Saccharomyces cerevisiae S288C: one gene and its partner. Changing the gene in region 2 together with the main gene of any one other region gives a genetic interaction. Each region holds a gene or a part of one and is shown on either strand. Other genes may lie near its edges.

What was found.
Region 1: mutations in UTH1 (region 2) and DAK1 together harm fitness more than expected from each alone (negative genetic interaction), as found in Saccharomyces cerevisiae (2 studies listed by BioGRID).

Annotation. Positions count from the first base shown.
Region 1 is NC_001145.3:130,905-136,157, reverse strand, and holds DAK1 (dihydroxyacetone kinase), read right to left. Parts: upstream 2,684-5,253; coding exon 929-2,683; downstream 1-928. Other genes in the region: FACT complex subunit POB3, read right to left, coding at 1-658; Golgi transport complex subunit COG8, read left to right, coding at 4,586-5,253. UniProt on the Saccharomyces cerevisiae protein: Catalyzes both the phosphorylation of dihydroxyacetone and of glyceraldehyde.
Region 2 is NC_001143.9:517,121-521,704, forward strand, and holds UTH1 (SUN family protein UTH1), read left to right. Parts: upstream 1-2,406; coding exon 2,407-3,504; downstream 3,505-4,584. Other genes in the region: YKR041W (uncharacterized protein), read left to right, coding at 1,078-1,830; SHB17 (sedoheptulose-bisphosphatase), read right to left, coding at 3,777-4,584. UniProt on the Saccharomyces cerevisiae protein: Involved in aging, oxidative stress response, and in the regulation of mitochondrial biogenesis.

The DNA.
Region 1 (5,253 bases), on a different chromosome or scaffold from region 2:
TACTCTTTTCCTCTACTGCCATTTGTACATCTTCTCCTTCAGCACCATCTTCTTTCTTTGGTACGACCTCGTTGCTTGACTCTTCCTTTTTGGTCATGTTTTCATCGACGTTTGTTTGAATAACACCAGGAATATAGAACCTCATCTCTACCAATTCGTCACCGGCTGGTTGGTACTCTTCATCTTGAATATTAAATTCTATTCCTACTTCATTTTTAGAGGTCAAATTTGTATTATTTATTCTAGCATAAGGAATTTCAAAAGTTGGTTTACCATTTAAAGCAAAAACCATTTCATTCCTGGCAAGGTCTGTCTTACCCCAGTTCCAACCACGTAAGGAATGTTCTCTTTGCTCTACCTGAATATTAAAACGGCGATGGAAATCATTCTTGATTAAGTTATAGTCATCCTGAGAAAATCCATCTAGTTGGATAACACCTTGATTTTTGGTATTTATCTTCAAGTCGTAACCCCTGCAGCCCCTACTCCATTGGACGGTAGATAATTCTGTGGCTGGTAATAAAAATGGTTTTCTTGCCTGATTTGCTGCAGAGCCACCACTGGTACTAATTTTCCACCCTAACCCAGAATCAGCAATACGGAATCTACCGCTAAATTTAGATTGGTTCAAGTAAATTCTATCAAAGTCGGTACTCATAATTCTTGTTCAACAATACTAGATTGTTCCTTCACTTGTTAACGGTATTTCCTTCTTGTTCTTACCACCGATTCAACATCTAGCTACTCTCATACTATGTATATCTCTGACACTCGCGTTAACATTTCACCAGTTTAACGATTCGTTTCGCGTTGAACCGGGTTATACAATCGTTCTTCGCGATGATAATAACAATAACTCCAAGAAAAGTAAGCTTTTTCTATATATATATATCATAAGTATCTTGATATGTATTCGTGAGCCAAGTACTTACAAGGCGCTTTGAACCCCCTTCAAAAACTCACATAGGCCTACTGCACCAGGATCTTCTACTTGAGATGAATCGCCGACATACGAAGCTCTGCCAAATTTGGCCTCGAATGTAGCAGTGGATTTAGCACCTTCCTCTGCAGCTTTTACCGCCTTATTGAAATCCTTAGATGCAGTAAATTCTTTAACGAATGGTTCTAAAGCATCAATCATGGTGGATGATCCCTTCCTTGCCTTTGTATATTTGTATAAAGTATCCAATGCAATTCCGAGTGACTTAGCCACAATTTCCTTAGTGACGGGTTCATCCTTTGATTTACAAACCTGAATTAATCCGTGTGAAAAACCCGACAAAAGAATAGAATATAAACCACCAGAAGTACCTCCCATTGAGCCTTCAATGAAATCTGAAATTTGGGCAACCGCCTGAGATAATGAGTCCTTCGACAGCTTGTCAAGGTTTTCGGTGATGCCTTTAACTCCTGCCACTAAAGTGTAACCACAATCACCATCACCAACTTGATTGTCTAGTTCCGTAATGTGCGGTTCGCTCTTGATAACTTGTTCAGCACCACTCTTCATCCACTCAGCAAACTTGTCAAAGTCATAGGTACCGACGGCCTTTGCTGTTACTTCATTATGTAACAAGTCATCGTTAACAGATGGGGCAGAAGTCTTTTCAAAATCTGCAATTGGCCAGCCCGGTGCGTTCGTAAATGCGTTCAACAAGTCTAGTACTGATTTGATCTCCTCAAAATCAGATTGCAAAGCCTTTGTAGCCTTAGTGGCGTTTAGTAATGTGATACTGAACCCATTACCATTGAAGGAGGTCATCAATGTGCCAGCAATTGTTTGAACCGGGGTTATGTTGTAATTTTCCTTTAAGAAATCCGTAGTTTTGGAAGTGATAGAACTAATAACAAAATTAGAAACACCGCCGAGATTGTTAACTAACAAGACAACTTCATCATCTTCATCAAACTTTACAAAAGCTCTATCCTTATCGTTTGGATCCAATAGTTTTGGTAGCATATACTTGGAGATCAAGTCTTCGGTAGAAGGAATAGGGTCTAAAACTTTCACACCAGGTTCGTTATGAATACCCATACCCAATTCCATTTGTTTTTCGTTTAATTCACTTTCGAATTTCCTGCCAGGAACTTTACAATGGTCTAAAGAAGATCCAATGGTCACCAAATTGTCGTTGATAATTTTAGCCACTTTAGCTGTACCGTCTAAGCCATACTTACTAGAATATTCTTCTGCGAAGGCACCTACAATCTTATGAACCAAAACGGTACCTGCCAATGCTCTTCTACCAACCATACCACCCTTTTCTCTGCCAACTGCAACATCATCACCTATGACAGCAACGCGGCAGTTAATACCCAAGGCTCTTGCTCTCTCAGCGGACAGACCAAAATGCAAAACATCACCTGTGTAGTTCTTCACAATCAATAAAACGCCAGACGCATTTTCATTGACTAAACGGATTGCATTTAAAATCTGTTTTGTTGAAGGGGATGCAAAAATTTCGCCAACCACGGCGCCACTCAACATACCCTTACCAATGAAACCGGCGTGTGTAGGTTCATGTCCACTACCACCACCAGAAATTAATGCGATCTTGTCGGAATCGGTCTTTCTGAAGAGAATTTTTTCTTCAGGGACCAGCGTAATGGAGGGGTTAGCAAGGGCAAACCCTTTGAGACTTGAATTGACTGGATCTGTGACTTCAAACGATTTAGCGGACATTTAAAATTTAGTCTTAGATATAGAATGTAATCTTATTCTTTGATGTGTTCGTTTACAGTTGCTACAAATAGTGACTACTTGTAGCGAAGTTGAAGTGATTTTCTCCTTATATATTTATTCATCAGTTAGTTCGACAGACGCTCGCGAGGTGGCCACTCTTTCAAAATGACGCAATTGGGAGTGGTTTGATCTTTCTCCCTTAGAAGCCAAATTGGCAAGCACTCACTCCGGGCCAGATTTACACCATGTTTGTAGCGCATTTAAATCAGGAAATGCATTATATTTCACTCTCTCGTCTAGCGAGTCTTAATGTTCATGACGGGGGAGCTTTATGCCTTGTTTTTTATCACAGCGCCAGACAATTGACAGTAACAAATAAAGGCAAAAAACCCTTGAATAGCACCAGAGGTGTTTACTGATTGCTTTTAAAGTACGTATAAAACTGTAAAATATAGATTAAATTCGACCGCCATTACTTTAGAGTTGAAATTGGGAAGCCGTATATTGCCATTTCAGCCATGCTTCTATGGTTCCTAATGGAAGCATGAATGACATACGCAATTTGATGAGCTTGAAAAGGGCGTAATTGACAAGCCAGATTTGAATCTAATCCCTTGAGAAATTATCTGCAAGTAGTAAAAAAATCTCTAAAAGATGTATAATTGAGTCGCCTAGAGACCTCATTCATCATGATATTTGACACCTTAATTTTGATAGTAGCGGGTCAGTCATTAAGAAGAAAGTGAGCTGGGGCTAATCATCAACGATCTCCCATAATTACGTACGTCAAAGACAACACGTTGGCAAAGGTAAGAAGAACGTAGTGCGTATCATGCTTACGGTGAATTTCACCCTTTTTTTCTGTTATTCGTGCTGATCCACGGGGTATTCAATTGAAGATATTATCTTTATCATCATATCGGTAAGCGTCTGGGAGAAGCAACTGGTCAAACGTTTTCAAAAACCATTCTTTAAACAACAAACCGATCAATGTTCTTGATCAGCTTATCAATCTATCCGATCTCCTGCGTTCAGCGTGACCGCCACACTTATGTCTAGATAATTTAACTTCCAGTTGCTAATTTCCCGCTAAAGTATCTTATGTTTACCATCACTGTAGCCGCCCTATCATATGCAACACTTCCATACTCATTTTCGGAATAAGAAGCAACTATCATCTAACGACTAGTATTTATATTACTGGTATATTACCATATTGGGTATAAGACGGTCAAATAAATATTGAGAAACAGTCACCAATTTTAATGGAAATTGAAATGAAAGGGTTGATAATGTGCTAGGAAAATGAACGAGAACATACAAAATGAAAGAAGAAATAATAATATTCCTACACAGAAATATCGGTTCTCTATTGTGGATTTTCATATTCTCGAGGAGAACCTCTAGTACATTTTGTGTATCTGGTATCACAGCGCTTGACAACTATAGAATTTAAACAATTATCTCATTCTTCATCCATCACTCAATCATATATATTAACCCCGGAAAAGTGCATTTTTGGTTTCTAATAACATTTGTATTAGTAATATTTGTTTACCCAACAATTCAAGAAATTTAGCTCGCGTGGCGTAATGGCAACGCGTCTGACTTCTAATCAGAAGATTATGGGTTCGACCCCCATCGTGAGTGCTTTGTTTCTTCTTTTTTGAATATGCTAATTCTAAATTTATAGGAAGAGTTGGATTTTCCTTTAGTTAGTTGTACTCTTGAAGTCCATTTTCTTTTTATACGTACATTAGATCGATCTCGCGATCATGGCTTCAATGTCTAAAAATATAGCGTAGTAACATACTGAAAAGAGAAGCACAGAAAAAATAATCATAGAAGTGTTAGGACATTTGAGGGAACATATTTCAACAATAAACATAATCATTGAGTAAAATGGAGCTGATACTAAACAGCCTCATTTCTGATGATTTAACAGAGGAACAAAAACGGTTAAGTCTTGATTTCCTACAGGATATCCTACAATCTAACACGAAAGACTATGAAAGTTATTTTTCATCTAGGGCTGTTCCTGGTAGCATAACTGAAGACATAGCAGAAATTGATGCTGAATTATCTGCCCTTGATAGAAAGATAAGGAAAACACTACTAGATAATACGTCTCAGATTATCGGAAATATTCTTGAAAACGATGATAGGGCTCAATTGGATGATATAGCCAAGTCTTTGGAGCAATTATGGGAATTGGATACTAATATTAATAAGGCAGCCGATCGAAACGTTACAAATGACGATATAAACAATGAAAGCGTTTCTATTGATGACTTTTTGGAAGACGATAAAGAAGACAACGACACAGGTCGCATCATGACGACTGAGAGTAACAATCTGGCAAGAAAGAAGAAGGAGGATGAGTTTCACAAGGCATTAAGTAGGTTAAGAAACAGAATTTCAACTAAAGAAGATGACAAGGACGACATTAGATCTGACACATTAGTCACTGTACTAGAAAATTTGGATAGCATTACGGATTTGATGGAACTACCATTTTTGGCCCGCACATGTATCAGAACAGGTCATTACCAGGAGGCCGTCATGCTATA
Region 2 (4,584 bases):
AACTAATCTGTGTGAGCTTCAATCAATCAATATGATTTCCCCGCATTTTGTTTGATATTTTAATTGATTCCGATTAAATCCGCTGGTAGCAGTTTTGTTTCAAACTAATTCAGCCTCCTTACTCCCCATTTCCTTATTGAACTTTGGGGATTCGGAGTTCCTTTTTTTTTCCGCCACTCCGATAACTAAACTTTGCAGTTTCACTGCTTGTTAAACATTTTCCTACTATAAATGACATTTAAAACGTAATTGAGACAAAAAAAGTTAAATCGTTATTAACTTTCACTGCGGCTCCGCTCTTTTCCTCATAAGGAAATCCCCTCTTATGATCTTGAGAAATGGGGGAATGTTGAGATAATTGTTGGGATTCCATTGTTGATAAAGGCTATAATATTAGGTATACAGAATATACTAGAAGTTCTCCTCAAGGATATAGGAATCCTCAAAATGGAATCTATATTTCTACATACTAATATTACGATTATTCCTCATTCCGTTTTATATGTTTCATTATCCTATTACATTATCAATCCTTGCACTTCAGCTTCCTCTAACTTCGATGACAGCTTCTCATAACTTATGTCATCATCTTAACACCGTATATGATAATATATTGATAATATAACTATTAGTTGATAGACGATAGTGGATTTTTATTCCAACAGATCTTGATATAAGCCCTGTCATTGATTGCAAATGCACAAATTCCGGAGATTGAACAGCCAACACAAAGATAGTATTTGGGACTTAGCGGGTTGAGAACGGTAATTATATCATGAATACTCCACTCCAAGCTTGTTTGATACATCACATTCTTGTAAAAATATATGATCCAATTCCTAGGACATCAGAAAATATATCTACTATGGGCGTGTGGCGTAGTCGGTAGCGCGCTCCCTTAGCATGGGAGAGGTCTCCGGTTCGATTCCGGACTCGTCCATTTTAAAATTTCTTTTTTTTTTTTTCTCTTTCCGTATGTAAGCTTTTTTCCTTTTTTTTTTTTTTTTTTTTTTTTTTTTCTTCACTACTTTTCAATGAAACTCTCTTCAAAAGACAGCATGCAGTAAAAGCGCCGATATGAGTGACGACGATTATATGAACAGCGATGACGACAACGACGCCGAAAAAAGATACGTAAGGCCAATTTTCGTCAGAAAGCGCAGGAGAGAAGAAGACTACGTTGCAACTAGCAAAGACAACATCCACCACCACCCATGCGATTGGTCCGCGAAACCATCGCAACGTCAAAACGAAAATGAGCAAAAAAGCACCATACGGCTTGTACCAGTGGCGATGAATACGCCGAAGTGTCAAGAGAAAAAAAAGAAAAGAAAGGGCGTTGGTACAACTAGTCATGAGGCTACGCTTTTCGAGTACGGTGAAAGCATAGCAGGCTACAAGTGTGTTACAACCGAGAGCGAAAGAGACCGCTTGAAACGAAGTCATGAAAGCGAAAGCAGCAGTGAAAGCGAGGTAGACGTTTTCGCCTTTGACCAGGCAAAAGGTATCAGCTCTAAGGTTGAAGCCGAAGAACGCTACGCGCGGGCCGTTCGACAGTATTGGCGCATGACCAAAGACGAGCCGGCTACCTTACCACTGCCAGGCACACCTACCCTAGCGGCTGTGAGTTTAGATATGATTGATGACAAAAGCGTAGAACAATTTTACACAATGAGCAGTGCCTTGATGGATGCAAACAGACTAGACTTGATTCGCCGCGATAGAATCCGGTGGCACCCGGACAAACATCGTTATCATAAGTCCAAAGTCACAAAACTGTTTCAGGCCATTAACGGCCTGTGGGAGCAAGAAAAGACCGAGAAAAGGTAATGAAAAAGTGGAACTAGACCCCACGTCAGCGGGCCTAGGCCCTTCAATGTGTTAGAATACACAGCGTGCCTAGTTCCTGGTGCCTGGATCTCGAGGCCGCGGCACTGGAAAAGCCCTTTCTTTTCCAGATCGGGAAACCTAATGAGTCCATAAAAAGAAATGTAGAGGTGGTGTTGACGTTTTGCCGCTTTTGGGCAAGTAGGTCTTTCTGCACGGCCCGGCCCGGGTCGTGCGGAAAAAGAAAAAAGCAGACAAAACAAAATTTTTCCTTTTTTTCGCCTTTGTTTCTCCTGATTCGGGTATATAAGTGAATACCATCTAATGTGTTTCCTTCTCGAGACCTCGGCGTCTCCCAGATCAAAGCTCAGCAAAGATTTTAAACCGCAATTTACGCTCCTTTCATCGGTAACTAAGAAGAAAAAAAAAAAAGTACGACCACACAATTTCCAGTGTATTCATTCCTTAAACTTCGTTTATTTTTTATTCATTCATTCATTTTTATTTGAATATAACCAACTACTAGTCCTTCCTTTAAACAAAAATTTACCCTCCCTTAATTTTTCAAGAAATTCCAGTATGAAATTATCCGCTCTATTAGCTTTATCAGCCTCCACCGCCGTCTTGGCCGCTCCAGCTGTCCACCATAGTGACAACCACCACCACAACGACAAGCGTGCCGTTGTCACCGTTACTCAGTACGTCAACGCAGACGGCGCTGTTGTTATTCCAGCTGCCACCACCGCTACCTCGGCGGCTGCTGATGGAAAGGTCGAGTCTGTTGCTGCTGCCACCACTACTTTGTCCTCGACTGCCGCCGCCGCTACTACCTCTGCCGCCGCCTCTTCTTCCTCCTCTTCCTCTTCCTCCTCTTCCTCTTCTTCCTCTGTTGGTTCTGGAGATTTTGAAGATGGTACCATTTCCTGTTCTGATTTCCCATCCGGACAAGGTGCTGTCTCCTTGGACTGGTTAGGTCTAGGCGGCTGGGCTTCCATCATGGACATGAACGGTAACACCGCCACCTCTTGTCAAGACGGATACTACTGTTCTTACGCTTGTTCTCCAGGTTACGCTAAGACCCAATGGCCTTCTGAACAACCTTCCGATGGTAGATCCGTTGGTGGTTTATACTGTAAGAACGGTAAATTATACCGTTCCAACACCGACACTAACAGTTTGTGTGTAGAAGGTCAAGGCTCTGCTCAAGCTGTTAACAAGGTCTCCGGCTCCATTGCTATCTGTGGTACCGATTATCCAGGTTCTGAAAACATGGTCGTTCCTACCGTAGTTGGCGCTGGTTCCTCCCAACCAATCAACGTCATCAAGGAGGACTCCTACTATCAATGGCAAGGTAAGAAGACCTCTGCCCAATACTACGTTAACAACGCTGGTGTCTCTGTGGAAGATGGTTGTATCTGGGGTACTGAGGGTTCCGGTGTCGGTAACTGGGCCCCAGTTGTCTTGGGTGCTGGTTACACTGATGGTATCACTTACTTGTCCATCATTCCAAACCCAAACAACAAAGAAGCACCAAACTTTAACATCAAGATCGTTGCCACCGATGGCTCTACCGTCAATGGTGCTTGCTCTTACGAAAATGGTGTCTACTCTGGCTCTGGCTCTGACGGTTGTACTGTTTCAGTTACTTCTGGTTCTGCTAACTTTGTCTTCTACTAGGCCTTTTTTCCTTGAATATTGCAAATAAGCTTTTGCTAGTACTTTTTTTACTCCGTTCATTTTATGGTTTATTTTTCAATTAGTTCGTTTTTCCACAATACAAAAAAACACAGTCCTTTGTACTATCCCTTTTATTTCATTATTTTTTCTTTTTTAAGATACCACTAGATATTATCATATATAGCATATTATATAACATAAAAAGTCAAGAAAAAAAATGTTTTTATCACTTTCTATAACTGCATATCTTTTTTTGCATTTCGAATGATTGCTTACACATCGCCATGCTGGGATTCCTCCTCTGGTGGTGAGACAAATGGACCTGCTAATTCCAATGCAGGTTCGTCAATGTTGTGGTGAGCGTATGACAAAACACCAATCCCACCGGCGTCCAGTAAGAAACATGGATTGTCTACCAAATGTCTGTAAGATTCCAATTTCACATATGGAACTGTGTCGTCATCATAAGATTTGACATTTTGAATTTCTTCAATCGTCTCACACTTCTTTTGCACACCCAGTCCAAACCAAATAGCAGCAAAATAACGCAATGCATGTCCGTGCGCAAAGACCATGATGTCTGATGCTCTGCCCTCACTCTGGTGCTTGCGGTGCAAGTTCTGGATTCTGGCAATAGCGCGGGAAAGTCTCAACCCAATTTGCTGAGTAGTCTCACCGTTCTCACACCCATCTCTCCAGATATTCCATGGCCTCTCCTTGTCCAAACCGCGTGACTTTCTCAATTCAATGATTTCTCGAGTCAGCATTCCCTCGTAGTCACCGTACTCCCACTCTCGCAAGTCGTCGTCTACCACCACACGGATCTTAGCTCTTTGCTCGTCGCTTAATGGTTTCAAAACCAAATCCACAGTTTGCCTGGCACGCAAACGTGGAGAGGTGAAGATATAAGTGATGTTGTCTGGATTCAAAAACTGATTATTGCGGAAAACACTCTCACCGGTCCTCAACATTTGGCCCTCACCGTAGGGCGTTAACGGTAGATCTGTCAAACCAGTATACTGGCCTGACTTGGACCATTCAGTTTGACCGTGTCTGACAATGATACATCTGGGGGTTAGC